Linked DNA regions of Macaca fascicularis. The main gene of each other region encodes a partner of the protein of the gene in region 2 in a complex. Links are inferred from orthologs where the notes say so. Each region holds a gene or a part of one and is shown on either strand. Other genes may lie near its edges. The genes, in order: MAPK14, MAP3K20, MAP2K3, PKN1 and NOD2.

What was found.
Region 1: MAP3K20 (region 2) and MAPK14 share a complex: the UniProt entries of both Homo sapiens proteins name them as parts of the signaling complex. The link is inferred for Macaca fascicularis from reciprocal best matches to the Homo sapiens genes MAP3K20 and MAPK14.
Region 3: MAP3K20 (region 2) and MAP2K3 share a complex: the UniProt entries of both Homo sapiens proteins name them as parts of the signaling complex. The link is inferred for Macaca fascicularis from reciprocal best matches to the Homo sapiens genes MAP3K20 and MAP2K3.
Region 4: MAP3K20 (region 2) and PKN1 share a complex: the UniProt entries of both Homo sapiens proteins name them as parts of the signaling complex. The link is inferred for Macaca fascicularis from reciprocal best matches to the Homo sapiens genes MAP3K20 and PKN1.
Region 5: MAP3K20 (region 2) and NOD2 share a complex: the UniProt entries of both Homo sapiens proteins name them as parts of the signaling complex. The link is inferred for Macaca fascicularis from reciprocal best matches to the Homo sapiens genes MAP3K20 and NOD2.

Annotation. Positions count from the first base shown.
Region 1 is NC_088378.1:135,643,547-135,647,798, reverse strand, and holds the start of MAPK14 (mitogen-activated protein kinase 14), read left to right. Parts: upstream 1-1,447; 5' UTR 1,448-1,844; coding exon 1,845-1,960; intron 1,961-2,076; exon of another isoform or gene 2,077-2,187; intron 2,188-4,252. UniProt on the Homo sapiens protein: Serine/threonine kinase which acts as an essential component of the MAP kinase signal transduction pathway.
Region 2 is NC_088386.1:68,609,474-68,613,608, reverse strand, and holds the start of MAP3K20 (mitogen-activated protein kinase kinase kinase 20), read right to left. Parts: upstream 2,801-4,135; 5' UTR 2,665-2,800; intron 2,645-2,664; exon of another isoform or gene 2,478-2,644; intron 1,653-2,477; exon of another isoform or gene 1,566-1,652; intron 1,300-1,565; exon of another isoform or gene 1,239-1,299; intron 1-1,238. UniProt on the Homo sapiens protein: Stress-activated component of a protein kinase signal transduction cascade that promotes programmed cell death in response to various stress, such as ribosomal stress, osmotic shock and ionizing radiation.
Region 3 is NC_088390.1:20,741,062-20,744,571, reverse strand, and holds part of MAP2K3 (dual specificity mitogen-activated protein kinase kinase 3), read right to left. Parts: intron 2,577-3,510; coding exon 2,437-2,576; intron 1,213-2,436; coding exon 1,167-1,212; intron 558-1,166; coding exon 474-557; 3' UTR 1-473. UniProt on the Homo sapiens protein: Dual specificity kinase. Is activated by cytokines and environmental stress in vivo. Catalyzes the concomitant phosphorylation of a threonine and a tyrosine residue in the MAP kinase p38.
Region 4 is NC_088393.1:14,864,440-14,868,520, forward strand, and holds the start of PKN1 (serine/threonine-protein kinase N1), read left to right. Parts: upstream 1-1,281; 5' UTR 1,282-1,383; coding exon 1,384-1,611; intron 1,612-1,762; exon of another isoform or gene 1,763-1,961; coding exon of another isoform or gene 1,962-1,982; intron 1,983-2,176; exon of another isoform or gene 2,177-4,006; intron 4,007-4,081. UniProt on the Homo sapiens protein: PKC-related serine/threonine-protein kinase involved in various processes such as regulation of the intermediate filaments of the actin cytoskeleton, cell migration, tumor cell invasion and transcription regulation.
Region 5 is NC_088394.1:46,655,264-46,659,346, reverse strand, and holds the start of NOD2 (nucleotide-binding oligomerization domain-containing protein 2), read right to left. Parts: upstream 2,809-4,083; 5' UTR 2,713-2,808; coding exon 2,628-2,712; intron 464-2,627; coding exon 1-463. UniProt on the Homo sapiens protein: Pattern recognition receptor (PRR) that detects bacterial peptidoglycan fragments and other danger signals and plays an important role in gastrointestinal immunity.

The DNA.
Region 1 (4,252 bases), on a different chromosome or scaffold from region 2:
AATGCTTAAAATCCTCTTCACTGATGGCTCTTCAGGGTAGGAGTCAGTTTCAAATCTTCAGTGTAATGGTTTTTTAAATGCTTCTCAAAGGGAGATATCAGACTTTCCTGAATCAGAATTACCTAAGATGTATTATAAAAATACATGCTCTTGATGCCTTCCTCTGACCTACCCAATTAGACTCCCTGTGAGTCCTGGGAACTTGCATCTTAAACTCCCAGGGTGATTTTTCTGCATGTAAGTTTAAGAACTATTAGGAGAGTTTGAATGGAAAGCCTCAGCTTTTTTTTTTTTTTTTTTTTTTTTTTTTGAGACGGAGTCTCCTTCTGACGCCAGGCTGGAGTGCAGTGGCGCGATTTTAGCTCACTGCAACCTCCGCCTCCCGGATTCAAGCAATTCTCCTGCCTCAGTCTCCCGAGAAGCTGGAACTACAGGCTCAAGCCACCATGCCCAGCTAATTTTTGTATTTTTCAGTAGAGACGGGGTTTCACCATGTTGGCCAGGATGGTCTCTATCTCTTGACCTCGTGATCCGACCGCCTCGGCCTCCCAAAGTGCTGGGATAACAGGCGTGAGCCACCGCGCCCAGCCCCTGGAAAGCCTCAGCTTTGATGCAGGGTTAACATTTGCCTTTGGGACATATTTCGTCAGCATCTCGAAGAGTAACCCACATGTAGAGTAACCCATATGTCCTTGAGCAGATGGGAATGCAACAGCCTTCTGGCCAGAACCTGTCTCTCACTTTTTTTTTTTTTTTTTTTTAATTTGAGACGGAGTTTCGCTTCTGTTTCCCAGGCTGGAGTGCAATGGCGCGATCTCGGCTCACCACAACCTCCACCTCCCGGGTTCAAGCGATTCTCCTGCCTCTGCCTCCCGAGTAGCTGGGACTCCAGGTGCGCGCCACCACGCCCGGCTAATTTTGCATTTTTAGTAGAGACGGGGGTTTCGCCATTTTGGTCAGGCTGGTCTCGAACTCCCGACCTCAGGTGATCCGCCCGCTTCGGCCTCCCAAAATGCTGGGATTACAGGCGTGAGCCACCGCGCCCTGCCACCTGTCTCTTTTTCATGCAAGTGTTTTTTGGAATTTGGGGGTTCAGCTGAGCAGGTGCTCCGCTGCTAGTAACTACTCGCAGTTAAAGATCTTTTGACTCTTTCCCCGACACGCTATTTGTCACTGTCGTTTTCCACCACAGAGCCAGGTATTTGCCCTGCCGGCCACGGTGGGGCGCGCGCGGCGTGTGCTGCCCGCTTATCTCTTCCTTCCCTGGTCCGCCTTCGCGCCCTTAAGGAGACAGTTCCTGGGAGTTTCTGCCTTTGGGCTCCAGTTGTTGCTCTCTTCTCGCGAGAACTGCCCCTCTCATCCTCTCCTCTCACGAAGCCCCGCCCGCGAAGAGGTTCCATATTGGGTAAAATCTCGGCTCTCGGAGAGTCCCGGGAGCAGTTCTCGCGAGAGTACTGCGGGAGGCTCCTGTTTGCTGGCTGTGGAACCGCGACCACTGGAGCCTCAGCGGGCGCAGCAGCTGGATCCGGAGTACTGCGACGCAGCTCGGAGTCGGCCTTGTAGGGACGAAGGTGCAGGGAGATCGCGGCAGGCGCAGCCTTGAGCGCCGGAGCGCGTCCCTGCCCTTAGCGGGGCTTGCCCCAGTCGCAGGGGCGCATCCAGCCGCGGCGGCTGACAGCAGCCGCGCGCGCGGGAGTCTGCGGGGTCGCGGCAGCCGCACCTGCGCGGGCGACCAGCGCAAGGTCCCCGCCCGGCTGGGCGGGCAGCAAGGGCCGGGGAGAGGGTGCGGGTGCAGGCGGGGGCCCCATAGGGCCACCTTCTTACCCGGCGACTGCCGCTGGAAAATGTCTCAGGAGAGGCCCACGTTCTACCGGCAGGAGCTGAACAAGACAATCTGGGAGGTGCCCGAGCGTTACCAGAACCTGTCTCCAGTGGGCTCCGGCGCCTATGGCTCTGTGTGGTGAGTGTCGCCGGGCCTGGGGCCGCTGTGGGCAGGGTGGCCCCTCGCGCCCGAGAGCCAGGCCTGCACGACTGCTCTGCGTTGCGTCAAGTGGCAGGAATTTTCCTCGGGGGAGGGCCTTGCTGCCCCTTCGAGCTCTGCCTGTTCTGCACCTCCTGCACCCCTCGCCCTGCACTCACGCGGGTATTGCGGTCCACCGTGTGCAGCGCTCAAGTCCGCTGCGAGAGGTAGGTGGTGGTGCTGGAGCTCGGTTCTGGCTAGCACCCTGCGCCTTCGCCTCTCGGAAGGTTGCTGCTCGGCGGCAGGCACCGGGGGAAGGGCTGCTTCCTTGGGGGTCTCCCTCCGGACCTGGAGCAGAAGGACCCTCTCCCGCGATGCGCCCACGCTGTGGCGCCGGACCCTGTCCTCTGAGCAGACAAGCTTGGGGAGCTGCCGGGAGAAGCAGAAGGGCAGAGCGCAACCCGAAGACTGCGGTCATCTAAACAAAACTGACCAGGAAGGGAGCTCTCTCCGGGCCTTTTTTTTTTTTTTTTTCCCCAAACCTCTGTCGAAATCCCATCTCGAGAAGTGTTCTTTTTGAATTCGCACTTGAATTAGCAGCGATCCATAGAGCTTAAAATACCGACTTTATCTCGGTGAACACTGTGCCAGCTTGAGTGGTGTGTTTCCGATTCGGTTGAAAGCGTATTTCCTTTCTGTGGAGGGGCGGCGGTGGTAGTGCCTGCAAGAACGCTGCAGCTTGAGAAACTGGCAGTCTCACTGATTAGTCACATACCACTGCTCATTTAAGTATTGTTCGACAAAACAGTTTTTTCATTTGGAGCAAGAAAGATTCAGATCTGTAAGGCGCCCTCAAGATCAAAAAATTATTAACAGTGCTAGGAGGTATTGTAAGTATTTTTTGAGATAATTCCTGCGAATACTGTGTTTTAAAAGTCCCTTTCAGAGTTTGCAGGGATTTATCTAGTTATCTGCATTTATGGCCTGAGGTACACGATGGTTTTCGTAAGGATATGGAACCACATAGAAAAGGAAGGGAAGAGATACTTTTTAGCTTTAATTTACACCGTGAGTGTGTTTTAAATTAAGTCGATACCATGTAATTTCCAGACCTGAAATATTTCACTAACTGCTCTCTAATTTTCAAGGTTTTATACCCTGTATTTTAGATTTTCTATAATTTAAAAGCTACGGATCTGAAACTAAATATCAGATTTAACTGTTAGCTTTTTCTGTGTTTTAGTAATTCGTATTGTATGCGTCATTTGAAAAGGGGCCTGTAAAATAGTTTTTTGTTTTGGAACAAATTCCAGGCTTTTGGATGTGTTAATCTTTAAATATGATTTCTGTGTTTCCCAAAGTCACATCATGAATTTCCTGTTTGGTAGAATCTTCTGGGTAATTGAGATTGTGCAATTGTGTCCAGTAACAGATCATATTGCATTTTCTAGTTCAAGCTGCTTAAGTTATGTTGCAGATGGCACCGTGCGTGACATCTTTCTCCCATTTTTACAGCATGGCAGTTTACATTTTAAAGGAATTTGCAGGATTTTACATTCAGAGTGTGTGTGTGTATAGTTGATTTGCAGCATTTTACATTCGATATATACATGTTAATATATGTATATCCATTCAGTATATACATATTATGTATATCTAGTTGATTTGCTAATTTTCAAAGATGTATTTGGATCATTGTTCTTTTAATATTTTATAGCTCATTAATATACTTCCATTTTTTCATTCTTGAATTGACACATTCATTTCTGTAGTATCACGTTTTTGTTTTCAATGCTATTTAAATTTTAATGGAGTGATAACAGCAGAATAACTCATCTATAGAGGGTTTGGGTGAACTCCAGTTGAATTCCTCGCAAAGGTTCAGTACTGTTGGTGACTAGCTCTGCACTGGAACAGGAGATCCAGATTTACAGTGAAGTACCATTAAAATTAACTCCACATTTCTTTAGTGGTATATTTTTCTGTGGTATAAAAGCCAGCAGAGGCCGGGCGCGGTGGCTCAAGCCTGTAATCCCAGCACTTTGGGAGGCTGAGACGGGCGGATCACGAGGTCAGGAGATCGAGAAAGTCCTGGTTAACACGGTGAAACCCCGTCTCTACTAAAAAATACGAAAAAGTAGCCGGGCGAGGTGGCGGGCGCCTGTAGTCCCAGCTAACCGGGAGGCTGAGGCAGGAGAATGGCGTAAACCCGGGAGGCGGAGCTTGCAGCGAGCCAAGATGGCGCCACTGCACTCCAGCCTTGGCGACAGAGCGAGACTCCGTCTCAAAATA
Region 2 (4,135 bases):
GGAACTCTGCTTATTTGTGTCTACTGAGGCAAAGTTAATAGCTGCCAAAAGACTAGCCTAAATCTTCCTTGCAGTAAGACCAAAAGGGGCCTTAACTGTTCATATTACATTTAGATAGACAAGACACTCACCCTGTCAATCTGTCCTGGGTAGAATAAAATGGAAAACAAGTGATCTAAATTCATTTTTATTTTCAACGTCTCAGGATACAGACATAGAGCTATCTTATTCCAAGAAGCACTATATCCCTACAACACCTTTTTCCAGTTTAAGAAAAACAAACAAACAAACAAACAAAAAACATTGATTCATCTCTTCTGAATCTACCAATTTCTAAAATAAACTGTCCATTTTGCTTTCACTCCACACCAATAGCTTCACCTTACATCTGACTTCTTTTCATGAAACATCATTATAATTTCTTCAGTGTTTTCTCTGATGACTGGATTATTCACTCCACACCCCTCATACCTCCTATTTATAATTTTGTAGCCCTGTCGAAGTCAGTTTCACTGCTCATTCCTGATAGGCTCTGAGCCAATATATTGCCAATAACACTCACTCTTGTGCTAAGTTAAAATACACAGTGCAACTTGCCAAGTTTCCTTATTTGGCAAGAAGGCCCCTTAGTTCCCAAGATCTTTGACCATCCATTTTTAGATCCAAGTCCGCATGTTTAATATTTGGATATTTTTCTCTCTTTCCCTCTCTTTACTGTGTCCTTATATATTCCCTAAAAGAATAAGAAAAACAGATCAATCATTTATTTGCTTTTTTAGACAAGAAAGTCCTTGCAATTGCATCATGGTCATTTACTCTGGAATTATTATCACTAAATTTTTTTATTTAAACAACAATATTTTGCAGTTAAAAAACTCCCCCAAATAATCTCAAAAAGTTATAGGAATTAAATTGTGAAAGATTAAAATAAACATTGCAGGGGTCCAAAAGACTATTTTTATCTTAATTCTCTATTCCCAAACTAAATTCGTATTCATTTACAGTCTCCTAAATCTCTCACTATAGTAGCAGGAATTTAAAACAAAGACTCTGCAAATGACCATAAACATAATTAAAATGCAGCCATCACTTTTTTTTTTTTTTTTTTTGAAAATTGAAAAACAAGTGAAATTTCACTGTGGAGAGAGGCCTACTACAAGGAGGACATTAGCCTTGAATCACTTGTTTATTTTTGTCTTTAAACGTGTTTGGAGGTTTGGATCCACTAAATCCTAGCTGTTAATTTCAAGGAAGGTCAGGGAAACAAGAAGTCTCTCCTAAAACAGCTTTGGGGTTAAAGTAGGTACTGTTTTCAACAATCTTAATTCAAATATCCTCAAATTCACTCTGTAAGACGATTCTCACACACCATTATTAATGAGCTGCTTACTGTACTATACTTGGAATGGGCCCCTAAATTGTGTTGCTTTCATTATTACAGAAACTAACAAAAATAGTAATTAAGTTCCCCATAAACAGTGCTTATGCGCGATCTCAAAGCGCATCAGAAACATTAACATTTTCGGCGATCTAACAGAGATAATCTTTTTAAAAATTTTTTTTAGGCAATCGGATGTTATCTAGCCAGTCCTGAATTAAAGTTTTCTGAAAGCTGTCATGGGCAAGCGAGGCCAGGCGAGGCGGCGGCCTGGGTAAGTACTTCTCGGCCTGGTGCAGGTCTGGGAGCCCACAAAAAGACGGCTGCCTGAGGGTCGCCAAAGGGGACAACCCGGGCTCCGGTGGGAGGAAAGGGGGAAGCCCGAGAGGGCGGGCGCGCCACGCTGCCCAAGCCCGGCGAAGGAAGGGCGGGGAGCGGCGGCTCTGGGTGGCTCTGGATACATTTACGCATGTTTGTAAAACTAATCTTTAGTGTTCATTGTTCCTGCTGGTTATTCGCATGGCCTAATTACGTGAGGAAAACAGAATGAAAGAAAATGGATGGAAAGCAACACCGCTAGCGGCCGAGTTCTTAGAAAAGCAGAAGTTCGTCGTCCCTCCTCGCACGCACAGCGAGTGCTGGGAAGTGGCCTGCATCCTGCCCTGATTTGGGGGCCTCGCGGTTCCCCTCCCGACAGTGCCCCAACCACCCGCTGCTTGGCCGGCTCTCCTGTTTGCAGAGCCCCTGCCCGTGCCGCACGCCCAGGGCCGCGGAATCCCGAGCCGCTCCGGCCTGCGCCCCGCGCCTCCAGGCACCAACTTCTCCGTGGGACTGGCCCGAACTTTCCCGAACCGCACTTGGCGGCGCCGCGGCCGAGGTCCCGCGAGGACTCCTCCGGCGCGGCGAATGCTCGCTCCGGCCGCCGCCGCCGCCGCGCGGGTCCTGGGTCAGGGAGAGGAGCCCCAAGTAGCATCCAGAGGCCGCCTGGACTCCCGGGCCCCGGCGGAACCTCGGCCCCAAGACGCGAGGACGACTCGCGAGCGCGGCGGGCCTCGCCCCCTCCCTCCCCGCCCTCCGCGGGCTCCAGCCTGGACCCTACCTGGCTCCCAGGCCGGGCGCGAGCAGCAGCCGGGGGCGCGGAGGCCCCGCGCGCGACGAGGGCGGCGGGGGTTGGAACGACAGCGGCCCGCGCGGCTCCCACGCTTCCGCCGGAGTCAGGAGTTGAACATTCCGCCTCTCTGCCCGGCGCCAATGAGGAAGACAGTCACGGCAACAGCACCACCTACCTCCCGGCGCGGAACGGCCGGGCAGCCCTCCCCTCACACGCGCGGGCGAGCGGGGCGTGGGGAAGGCGCTTGGGCCTCCCTGGCCTGCGCCCGGGGGCACCATCCGCCCCGCGCCCCGGCACCCGCCGAGGCCCCCAGGCACACCTGCCCTGCTGTCGGGGGAGAGCTGTGGGGGTGTTCCCCCTGGCCACCATCTTTTTGACGAGTTAACACCACCTGCTACTCCTTCAACTCAGTCTTCAACAAACAGGCGCGGGGGACGCAAAGAAATAGAGGCTGTTTTGTGCCCTGCAAGAGTTAATTCTCTAGTTGGGAAAGGGACAAACGTAGAGATTTCTGGGAACACAGGTCTGAAGGCTGCCTCCCTAGAAAGATCAGTAGGTACCTCTGGAATTTTGAGGAGGGGCCGTGGTCCGCTGCTGTAGTTGGTAACTTTAACAGAGCAGAGTTCAGATGAGGAACCAGAGTCCATTACAGGCCTAAGCCAAAGGTAGAGGTGGGCGTTGGGAAGAAAAGAAATTTCTGATTGGGGAGGATGGTTTTGTGAAGGAAAAGTGCGAGGAGGTGGCAAGGCATAGGCAACATTATCCAGGAGTTTGGATTTGAATTTTATTATCCATGGACACCGGGGAGCAGTGAAAAATTAGAATCAAAGGGGTGAAATGGGTGTTTGTGTTTTTGTTTAAACTGTAATTTTGAGAGAGTAGTCCACAGTAGTTGTAGCTTGGGTTGCTAGGATGGGACCAGGATGAGTGGTAGATATTGTCACCACCCGGTTGTGGGATCATGAGGACCTGAGTTAGGGTGTAGGAAATGGAATTAAAAAAAAGAAATGGGCTGGGTGTGGTGCTTGTAATCCCAGCACTTTGGGAGATCAAGCTGAGGGGATCACTTGAGAACTGACTGGGTAACATAGTGAGACCTCATCTCTAAAAAAATCAAAAACTTAGCCCGGTGTGGTGCCACGCATCTATAGTCCCAGCTACTTGGGAGGCTGAGGTGGGAGAATCGCTTGAGCTGGGGAAGTCGAGTCTGAAGTGAAACACAATCGCATCACTGCACTCCAGCCTGGATGAGAGTGAGACTCTGTCTTTAAAAAAAAAAAAAAAAAAAAAAAAAACAAGAAGAAATGGAATTGAGAGAAATATTAAATATTTCAGCAAGAGGGCACAGAAATTGGTAACCCACAAGATTTAGAAGAGAAGCGGCAAGATTTAGAAGAGAAGAAGAGGAGAGGTGATGCCAAGATTTCAGACCTGGATGACTGGAAGAATGATGGTGTCATTGACAGGAATAGGAATACGTGAAAGGGAAGCTGGCTTCATGTTGAGTTTGAGGTCATAGAAGTAAAAACAGGTAGAGATGCAGCAACTGAAATATGAAACTGAAATTCAGAAAAGAGGTCAAGAGTGAAATAGAAAATTTGTAAGTCATTCGATAGGTTAAAGATACGAAAGCGGAGAGATGGGTG
Region 3 (3,510 bases), on a different chromosome or scaffold from region 2:
TGTGTACCCCGCACCAAAGCCGGGATAGAGGTGTGGCCACCCTGGGCCAAAGTGTGCAAAGTCCATTCAGTCAAGAGATTAAAAAAATATACAACTTGGCTGGCATCCAGGCTGGGCAAGGCAGTGGCCCATTCACCCAGGCACCAGCGGCCTGCTGTGCAAGGGGCAGCAGCATCCACAGGGGGCATCCAGGCCCCCTCAGTCCAGGATCTCAGCAGCTGGAGACGGGTCCTTGGAGCAGCAGGGAGAGGCACTGGTGGGGCCGACAAGGGCCTGGCTGGCAGCCCTGATGGTCTGCTTCTTTGGCACTTGGGACAAATGGCTCGCTGCAGAGTCAGGTGGGAACAGGCCCCTTGGTTCCTCCCAGGTGCCCTGGGCCAGGATGGCAGTAGCTTATGGTGTGGGTGAGCACTGCCCCCGCAGATGGGGCTGTGGGGCTCTGGAGGGCCGGAGTGGGGTCCGAGGCCCAGCCCCTATGAGTCTTCGCCCAGGATCTCCTTCACGAAGGCAGCGATGTCTGTCTTCTTGGTTTTGTGCAAGGTGAAGAAGGGGTGCTCCTGGGGGTGACAGAAGGCACAGTCACCATGGAGGGGGTAGCGGGAGGGGGAGGTGGCCACTCCTCCCCAACCAGCTCCAGCCCAAGTGTTCCTCCTGACTGGCAAAATCCTACTCATCCTTCTAGGACCTCCACCCCCAGGAGGCCCTCCATGACAGTCACGATGGCATTTGTGGCTCCTCCTCAGCTCTCTTGTGGTCACTCTCCAGCCACACTGACCTCCCTTTTCCCCGACACGTCAGGCCTCTGCCCATGCTGGACCTTCTGCTTGGGACGCCTCTCCGTCAGCAGATAACCCTTATTCATCCTTCCAGGCTCAGTTCAAATGGTCCCTCCTCCATGAAGCCTTCCCTGATGCCACCCTTGGCCCCTCTGCCCCATTCTGTCACACACTGCCTGTGTATCCTTCCCAGGGCCTGGCATGCAGGAAGGAGGGAGGAGGGAGCCAGGCATGCAGGAGCAAACAAATGACCGAGCACCTAAAGGAGTGAACACAGGGCCAGCCGGAGGAGCTACCCATCTGTGTGCAGGACGTAGCCCTCTGCCCAGAGCCCCACTCAGCCCCAGCCAGCCCCGAAGAGCAAGGCAGGCACCTCCCGCCCGTACTCACCATCAGCTCCAGGTAGCTCATACGCTCTGCGGGGTTCTTCCTCAGGCTAGGAGAGAAGAGTGCAGCTGTGGCCAGGCGGGCAGGTAGGAAGGAAGCCCAGCCCCCGAGGGCCAGCCAAGCCACTCTGGGATTGCCCCAGGCCTGGCAGCAGGGGACACGTGCACCCAGGGAAGAAGGGACAGGAGTGTCCAGGGCTTCTCCCAGGGTGGAGGGGCATTCATAGGGGCAAACTAGAGACTCGCAGCAAGTTTCTGGCTCTTGGGGTCCTGGTTTTCTTGTCTCCATAGTGACCTAGGAATTTCCATATCAACACCAAAATGGGACTGCAATGTTCTGCCTAACAAGCATATACTCGGTATCCTCAGTCAGGAGAGAAAACTCCTTATCATGGGTTCTGGGAGAGGTTAGTCCCCAGTTAAAGGGGTCAGACTGCCCAGGGACACTGCTGGGCTCCTCTGTTGCTGATTATGGTCAACAACAAAAGTGCTGGGACCATGGGTGTGAGCCACCGCACCCGGCCGCTTCTTCCTTACCCATTTCTTGCTCTGTTTAATTATGGTCAGAGAAGTTGGTCTGTATGACTTTGCCTTCTTCCTTAGTCCCTCTGTAACCTCAAACATGATTTTTTTTTTTAAGAGAGAATCTCGCTCTGTCGCCCATGCTGGAGTGCAGTCGCATGATCTCGGCTCAGGCTCACTGCAACCTCTGGCTCCTGGGTTCAAGCGATTCTCGTGCTTCAGCCTCCTGAGTAGCTGGGATTACAGGCGTACACCACCATGCCTGGCTAATTTTTCTATTTTTAGTAGAGACAGCGTTTCCCCATGTTGATCAGGCTGGTCTCCAACTCCTGACCTTGTAATCCGCCCGCCTCAGCCTCTCAAAGTGCTGGGATTACAGGCATGAGCCACCGCACCCAGCCTCTCAAACATGATTTTTATAAGGCTCCTGTGGGGCATTCTTTAATTTGGTACAAAGTTCTAGATATCAGTAAAAGCAAACTTGTTTTTTGTGTTCAAATCTTCCATACACTTTGTTCTCTTTTCAGTCTGTCTGATTTGTCCACTTCTGGAAGAACTATATTAAAATCTCCCACCAGGACCATCGTTTTGTCAAATGCGCCTCATGCTCCAGCTGTTTCTGCCTTACATATTTCGATGCCATGTCATCTGGGGGGTTATTTGCAAAAACAAAAAGGAACAGGGCCCAGGAAGGTGCAGGGATCTGGCCAGGGAGGGGCAGTGACAGGTGCTCAGCAGCACCCAAGACTCACCACTGAGCAGTGAAGTCCACAAACTCGGGGGAGAAACGGTCGGCTGGGAGCTGGGGGGACGGCTCCTCCACCACCTGCTTCAGCTGCTGGAACGGGGTCCCCCAGGACTCGTAAGGGAACCGCAGGATGGCCATCTCAATCTGCAGTGGTGACATGGGGGGTCAGAGGCCCTGGCCCCAGATACACCCACGCTCTGCACCCAGGAGCCAGGGTTGGGGGCTCCCACCCATCCTGGTCCCGGAGCCAGGCCTCAAAGCTGCACAGCTCATCTCCCTATCACAGCCCAGCAGGACAAAGGCAAGAAAGCTCTTAGCTCCTCCCACCCAGCCAGCAGGACCCAGCTCAGGAAGCAGATCAGGCCGACGCCGGGACTGGTGGGACCATCACTGGGTTTTCAGACAACCTGAATTCTGAAGATTTTACAAAACAATGCAGGTTCCAGCTGCTCTGGAGAAATCTGAGGAGGTGGCAACCTCGGGCCGCAGCCTCGTGAGCCAGGTGGGCAGGTCCCAGGTGGTCACAGCCATTCCCCGCCCTAACATCTGACCATCTCAGACTTCAGCATCTGCTGTCATTTATTTGGGCTGCTGTTTTCACAGAGGAGGCACACGGGAAATGCTACACACACACACACACACACACACACACACACACACACACACACACACACAGCTGTCCCCAAGGCCACAGACAGACTGTGAGACCATAAGGTTGCTTCGCCTCTGCACCCGTGAGCCTGCAGCCTCATCTTCTGCAGGGCCCCGGCAGTTTCCCTCCTAGACAAGTGGCCTGTGTGGCCACATGTGCCCTGCTGGATCCGGATTTCCTGTGGGTGACATCGGGCCGGTAGGTCTCTGTACTCGCTGCAAACTCCCAGCCCTGTGTCCTCCCTGTGGTTGGCAAGAAGTCATCATGGAAGGGACGGACTAGCTAGGACTAGTCTGGGCTCCAGTCATGACGACTGGATGGAAAAAACAAGTCATGTCAGCCCTGGTTCCAGCCTGGAAGGACAGAGAATTCCGAGGCTCCAGCACAAGGGCCCTCGCTGATGGCCGTCCTCACCATGATGAACGG
Region 4 (4,081 bases), on a different chromosome or scaffold from region 2:
TATTTTTTAGTAGAGACGGGTTTCACCATATTGGCCAGGCTGGTCTCGAACTCCTGACCTCCAGTGATCCACCCACCACCACCTTGGCCTCCTAAAGGGCTGGGATTATAGGGGTGAGCCACTGCACCCAGACATTTTTTTTTCTTTCTTTTTTTTAGACAAGGTCTCGCTCTGTCACCCAGGCTGGAGTGCAGGGGCATCATGATTGCTCCCCACAGTGATGCATTCTCGGCCTCTTGAGCTCAAGCGATCCTCCTGCCTCAGCCTCCTGGTAGCTGGGACTACAGGCATGCGCTACCATGCCTGGCTGGATGGATTCTAGATCAGAATATTCTCCTCCTTCTCTCTTTCTGTTGTTAATATCCCCCAAAGAGTTGCTCAGATGAAAAAATAAGAGAGAAAACATCGCGCCCTGGTTTCCGGGACGACTGAAACCACGCAGAGCCACGCGTAGCTAAGGTACCCACAGCCCACGGCGCTTCCTCGGGTCCCAAAGGGCGCCAATGTGCAGACACCGCCGCCAGGGAGCGCTCCCCGCCGGAGCCCCGGAGACCAAGGTTTGGCTCCCTCGCCTGGTTTCCGAAGGAGTGAGGGTCCGACGGCAGCCGTAAACAAAGCTGCACGCTCTGCAGACCCCGGAGATCCCCTAGAAATTCCTCAGAGGCCTCCACTCTCCGCATGGGCACGAGTCTGCATTTATGGAGCGCCATCTGCATGCAGCAGCCCCGAAAAAGAAGGCGGTGCCCATTTTATTGTGTGGAAAACTGAGACTCAGAGGCCACAGGGGTTCCCAGGATGAACAGCGAGTTGGGATTCAAACCTCTTTTAATAACAATAACGATAATAGAGGTCAGGCGCAGTGGCTCAAGCCTGTGTAATCCCAGCACTTTAGGAGACCGAGGCGGGCGGATCACCTGATCAGGAGTTTGAGACCAGCCTGGCCAACATGATGAAACCTCATCTCTACTAAAAATATAAAAATTAGCCGGGCATGATGGCGGGCATCTGTAATCCTAGCTACTCAGGAGGCTGAGGCAGAAGAATCGCTTGAACCCGGGGGGCAGAGGTTGCAGTGAGCCGAGATCGCACCACTGCACTCCAGGATGGGCAATAGAGCGAAACTCCGTCCAAAAACAGCAAAACAACAAACAATTACGATAACATTAAAAGTGACAGCAGCTAACACTTATGGAGCGTCTAGAGTGTTCTCAGCTCTTGGCCTGCACTGTCTCATTGAATTTTACCAACACCTAGGAGGTGAGCGCATCATTCCCATTTCACAGATGAGGTGCCTGGAAGGATTTGGCTTCCCCAAGGCGTAAAGCGCTGGCATTTGAATGCAGATCTGCCCAGAGCTTGTCTCCAGGTAACGGGGAAACTTCCATGCCCTTGAATAGGGGACCACAGATGCAGGCGTCCCGAGCTTGCAAATGCACAGGGATGGGGTGGGGTGGGGGGGTTATTTTTTTTTTTTCAGGGGTTCTGGGAGGCCCAAAGGCCTCCGCCGCTCTCGGCTTGAACGCGGGGAACCGTTCTCCTCGGGTTCCCGCGCGCTCCAATGGGGGACCTCTCGGCAGCGTGCGGTCGTCGCAGGACCCGGAAAGAGGAAAGGTGGGGAGCCGATCGGGGTGCTCCGAGCTCGGGAGACTGAGGGGGCGGGCGGGCGGGACCCCGCAGCCCCGGGGGCCTCTGGGAGCCCCTCCCCCTCGGCCCCGCCCCCTCCCCGGGCGCCGACCTCCGGGGTCACGTGACCGGGCCCGGCGGCCGCTGGGGCTGGAGGGCGCGGCGCGGGGACGCGGCGGCCTGGGCAGGCGAGGCGGGAGCCTAGCAGGCCGGAGCGGGCCGCGGGCCGGGGAGGGTCGCGCCGCGCCCGCCCCCTCCCCGCCACGCCCGGGGCGCACGCGCGCTCCTCTGGCCGCCCCTCCCTCCGCGCGGGGACCCCTGGCGGGCGGCAGGAGGACATGGCCAGCGACGCCTTGCAGGTAGGCGCACCTGCGTCTGGAGTCCCGGGGCGACCGGACGGCTCCAGGGGACCCCGCCCTCGCGCTCCCGGGGGAGCCCCCCAGCCCCCCGAACGGGACTCGGGTGGCGATGGCTAGGGCGGGGACCTCCGGAGCGCCCGGCGCCCCCTCCCTGGGCCGGGACTGTGGAGCCAGCGAGGCCCCCTTCTCGGCAGGTGGCGATGTGGACGGGGCTGGTTTGGGGGCAATCTCGGAGGCACCCCCCGCTGCACCCCCAAACTCGGCCTCTCCCAGAGAACTAGAAGGGGCGCGGCGGAGGCTCTACTTCGGGTGTCTGTGGCTGGCTGGGAGTCCCGGTGCCTCTCGTCCGCCCCCAAACTCATCCCCCTCCCCAGGGTTGGGTGCCCGGCAGGTGCCGCTCCACCTGGGGCAGGTGCCTGGCGCAGTGCCGTGGGAGGGGAGGAGGCCGCCGGGCCCGGCCCGTGCCCTTCCCCCGCATAACAAAGCTCCAGCCACCCCCGCCTCTAGACAGCTTTATAGTGTTCCAGACGCCACCCAGATTGGCACCTGTTGGCGGAAGTACCCGAGTCACTGCATTAGGTCGGGGGACTGGGGACCCCCGCTCCTACTCTTGGACTGTCAGGTGGAACCTTCTCCCGGGTGGGGAGTGCCTCAGTCAACAGGCCAGGGATGCTCCCATATATAGAATCCTACTTTTTTGCATGGTGGCTGGGCAGGGCTGGGTCACCCCCACCCTCCTAACACACACACGTGACTGGCACCAGCCTTCTGCCCAGCCAGATTCCCCCGTGCCACCTGGTTGGTATCACTGACCTGGACTCATCTTCCCCGTCTGTGACAAGCAGGGCCAGCGTGACTGCCAACCTTCTTTGGTTCAAGTGACCCAAATCTGAGAAATGTCTGTGCCTCGGTGCCCCCATTTGCACCTCACCATCCAGTTCATCGTCCTGTGGCTGTTGTGTAACTGGGTTCTCGTCTCCTTCTGCACCTGCCCCCTGCCCCTCTGTGTCTCCCCCGTAACCCCCGGTCCCTCCCACCTCCCCAGTCCTGCTGATGGCCTGCCGGCCTTGCCGAGGAGCTGGGCGTATCTGGTGTTGCCGATCACACAAGGTCAGACCTCAGGGCCGGGATGGGCCGGGGTCCCTGCCTCCACCCCCGGCCCAGGGAGGGCTGTGTAGGAATCCCCGGGCGCATGCATGCGCTTGGCGCGTCCCACACATGACCCAGACAGGCTGTGATTCCTGCAGTGAGGCTGGACCCACGCCCTGGTCCCCCCTTCCCATCTCCTCCTTAGTCTCTTCCCTCCTCCTGGTCATCCCTCTCTCATGGTTGCTTGGGCCTGCCGCCCTGTCCCTCTATCTGTCCCAACGTGTGCCTGTCTGTTCTGTGTCCTGCAAACGGATGTCCTGTCCAGATTCCGGAAACGCCCAAGGCATTGAAATCTCCGGATGTGGGGGTCTAGGTCCCTGGCTGCTCTGGCAAGATGGGGATTCTGGGAGGCAGGTCCTCTGGGTCTGAGGTCTCCGCTCCATGGTGGGCAGCAGAGGAGCAGGGGTTCTCCATAGGCCAGGCCAGGCCCCTGAGTCCTGGGTTTGCCTTGGTGGCCCTCAGGTGACCTGTATGCCCTGGGAAGAAGTGAGTCACTCAGGGGAGGAGAACCCAGGAGCCCAGCCTCCCTCCCTCTCTGCATTACAGACCTCAGCTGCTGGAGGTGGGGCCGAGGGAGGCCACCTTTCCTCTCTGCCTGGACTTCCCCAGTTGAGCTGACCCCGCTCTTGGCTGTGTCCTCCCTCTGCCTGCTGGGGATGGGGTGGGGCCTGACTGAGTGAGGGTGGTATTTGGTGAGCCTGGGCTTAAATTCCGACGCTGACACTTCCTTGCTGTGTGTCCTGGGCCCAGTGCCTTCGCCTCTCTGAGCCTCGGTTCTGACCTAGGAAAAATGGGACTAAGAGGGTGTTCATGGGAGAGAGAGACCGAGACCTGGCCAGCACTTGGCAGGCGGGGCTGCTGTGAAGTCATTACTGGTAAGCGTCCTGGTCAGCAGCTCAGGGTGTGAATCTGTGTCCTTACTGATTGATTTACTTGTTTATATTTATTTA
Region 5 (4,083 bases), on a different chromosome or scaffold from region 2:
TGGGACGGTGTGAAGATTGGCAGCCTGATTTCGTCACATTCGTACTGGCTGACGAAACCCCGCTCTCGTGCCAGGTCCAGCACGCCCTCCACATGGCTGTGGAGCCTCCTGACAATGGCTGGCCGGTGACTCTGCAGGTCTTGGGCTGGGTGGAGCGAGTGGGGGTCCCAGCAGCCATGCAGCTTGGGGGATTGGCTGTCGGCCTGGGCTTCCTGGGCAGCAGCGACAAGTTTCTGACAGGCCCAAGTACCCTTATTCCAGACGGTGTCCAGGAGGCGCCTGGCCAAGTGGGAGAGAGGCTGGCCCAGGAGGTGGATGCCCTCGTAGTCTTCCCAGGAGAGGACCTCCCAGGACAGCAGCCAGTCCAGGACACTCTCGAAGCCCTCCAGGGACCCTGAGACCAGCAGCTCCACCAGCTGACTCCTCTGTGCCTGAAAAGCCTCCTGCGAGCACATTTCACAACCTGGGGAGGAGAACAAGGTCAGTGCAGGACTTCTCCAGAAGCCAGACGCGGGGTGGCTGGGGAAGGCCAGGGCAAGTCAGCCCCAGCAGAACCCGAGTTGGCCATGGTTCTAGCCTCAGACATTACCCAATCCAAGCTCCCCACCATACAGATGTGAAAATTGAGACCCAGAGAAGGCAAGAAACACCTCAAGGTCCCACAGAGAGTTTGAAGCAACCAAGAATTAAATCAAGACCCCTAACTCCCACATCCATGCTTGGTCTCCGGCTTAAAACATTTAAAAAGGCTTGAGGTAATATGAGGAGCAAGAGATCTCCCAAGGTCACTTGAGATCAGGAGTTCCAGACCAGCCTGGCCAACACGGTAAAACCCTTTCTCTACTAAAAATACAAAAATTAGCCAGGCGTGGTGTGGGCACCTGTAATCCCAGCTACTCAGGAGGCTGAGGTAGGAGAATCACTTGAACCCGGGAGGCAGAGGTTGCAGGCTGCACTCCAGCCTGGGCAACAGAGCAAGACCCTGTCTCAAAAAAATAATAATAAAAATGTAAAAAGTAGAGAGAGAGAAAGAGAGATCTTCCGAGCAGTCAGGGAATTCATTCTCTTCAAAGCAGGGTGAGAGGGACTCCACACTGGCCGGATTCACGCTACAGCAGTTTCAGTAATGGCTAATATTAATTAAGCATAAACAACACACCAGGCGCCATTCTAAGTGCTCTCCTGCGTGAATTCACTGAACCCTCCCAGCCACTCTGAAGTAGTGCCTATGATCTGCCCATTTTACAGAGGAAGACACTGAGGCACCGAGAGGCTCAGCGATTTGTACGACATGTCACAGCTAGACAGGCAGAGTCAGGATTTCAACACAAGCTGTGTGCAACTCCAGAATGCATGTCTCTAACTCTTACATTTGGGTTCCCCACGGGGGCCCCAAGCCCTTGCTGTGTGTTTTGCACACTGCTACTCCAAGGGGTACACTCAGAATATTGTTCTAAAGGTCCTATCCTAGGCTAAGTGAAAAATTACGGTGCAAACTAAGTTGTTTCCAAGCGTTCTCGTGCCTTGTCCCCCATCAACACTTCCCCCACACACTTGCCCTAGGGCCCTCACCTCCCTCCCACGCCCTCGAAACCACCGTGCACAGACTGCTGCTGCTGCTACCGTTAGCCACCTGCTGTGGGTTCTGGGAATTTGAGGGCAAGTAACCCTCCAGGAGCTTCAAGCCCTGGGAGGATCTCTGAGCAGCTGAGAAAATCTCTCAGCATGGTTAGTTCTGCGATTGTCGTGGGGTCTGTGGACAAGGGCTGGTGCAGTGCCTCGAAGAAACGAAAGTGAAAGGGTGTAGGCATGGACAACAAAGAGAGCCGTCGGCTTCTTTTTATAAATCAGGGACATTCCCAGCCACTCGAGGGAGTAGACGCCAAGCGGCCTGGGGATTTTGCCTCTTTGCTGATGGTTGTTTATGTGTCTCTCTCCCTGCCTGGGTCACGTGGAAGCCTGGGTCTTACTCGTCCTAGCATCCCTGAGCCTGGCACGGCACTGTCCCCCGCAGAGACACCGTGGAAATGTTCATGAATCAAATATCCCCTGGGCTGGGGGTGGGAGGAACACTGTAACCATCCTCATACGGCAGCCAAGGTAAGCAAAAGGAAAAACCTCCAATCTCTCAGAACGCTGCTGGGGCACAGGAGGCCCTGTGCTGGTCAGATGGGGAAACGGAGGCAATGAGGTTATGTGTGTGTCTGGCTGCTTGGGAGAGAGAGTGTCCCCCCCCTGCACAGGCCACTGGAATCCAGGAACTAAGGTAGTTCTCTCAGGCCAAGGAGGTCTCCTCCCCGTGCTCACCTCTAAGCAGAGGAGCCAAGAGGGTGGGGTGGCGGGGGACGGGGGAAGAGAGGACCAAAAGGGGGTAGAATAAGCTCTGGGCTTGGCCCTGGAGTGGTTCTCAGCTGTGGAAACATCAGCCAAGGACGCGACAGCAGCCCCCACCATCACCCCTGCCAGGGTCCTGGGGAAAATAACCACCCACCCACTCTCCCCAGAAAACAGCCCAGAGACACAGTCAGCACTCCCCATCTCACCCCAGGCCTGGGAGCATGCGCGCAGCCAGGGATGAAAGAAGGCTGAGAGTCAAGCTGAGACAGGACAATGCCTGCTCCTCTTACCCAGAAAATGTCCGAGGAGGACACTTGCTCTTTCCTCCTCATCGGGAGAGACTGGACCACCCCCTCTTCCCCCATCAAAGCCCATTAGGCTTGGGGAGCAGGCATGGCATCTGTGGGTGGGCCTTGTGCAGAACACCAAAAGCCCAGCGGCACAGGACTGGTGAGCCTGGATCTGTCTACCAACCCCACCTTCAAGGGAAATTCCCAAAGGAAAAGCCAGAGGCCAGAGTTGGCCAACCAGCCTTCCAGAACTAGGTAATTCCAGGCAATTCTGGCACAAAGCCTTGTGCATCCTGGAGACCATGACCCTCCCTGAAAAACCCCACTGGGGACATGAGACACATTCACGAGGGGACAGGCCACAAGTAAGTAGGGGCCCCTCCCTAGCACACCAAGCCTAGGGCAGCCTGGCCTACGTGTGAGCCATACACACCCCGGCTAGTGACGTCGGGCTTCTGTGGGCACCAGGAAGGGGAGGGCCGCCCAAGTCACGTGACTCGGAGCTCTGTCCTCCCAGCAGCTGCATCACCGCACCTCTGCCCTGGCCTTCTTCCAGAAACCTCAGAGCAAAAAGAATCCTGAGGGCCAATTCAGCCAGTCCCCTGTCTCTGAGCAGGCATTGTCCTGTCTCATATTAAACATCCGGAGAGGAGGGCCTGGCCTTAGTGCTGTCCTCACTAACCAGCTCAGGAAGCTCACCAGCTTGGGAATTTATTCATTATGTCTAGCTTCAGTTTCTCCTGCTTCAGTTTAACTTGGGAAAGAGACAGAAAAAATATTCACTCATTATCTGTTTCCTAAAAATTGTCCTTCACATCCTTCCTCTTACCCCTTTATTACCTGATCGGGCTTCCCCTCTTCAGGCAAAATCTATTAGTCTATCTGCATTGCCTTTTGATCTCTACTTCAGTTACTACAACTTCAAAGACACCATTGTCCTCCCCAAGGTGAGGCCCATGTAGAGAAAGGAGCACTTCCTTGCTGAAAGAGAGGGTCAAGGAGCGACCCACAAGGGCCCTCCCTGAAACCCAGGCCCAGGCCTGAGCCTTGGACAGCTCCTTCCTTCCTGAGACCACAGCCAACCTGGTTTCTCTGGGGCCAAGAGCAAATGCTTTGCTTAAGTGCTGAAATCTCAGTCCACTGACCCCTTGCAGACAGGAGAGGAAGGGAAGCCCAGGGAAGCGCAACTTCCCAAGTATCCCGGGTCTCTGCTGGGGCCAAGCGCCCCCACCCTCCCCCAGCCATCCTGCATTCTCCCTCCCCGGCACTGAACTTCTCTTCCTAAGAGACCAATTCCCCCCACCAGTGCACAATGCACTATATTCTCCATTGTAAAAGTAAAGCCCTCTCTTGACACCCACTTTCTTCATTTGGCTCCAATCCCATTTATCTGCTCCCCTTTATAGCAGACCCCCTTGTCTATTGCCTGTACTGCTGTCCCCAAGTCCTCCCATCC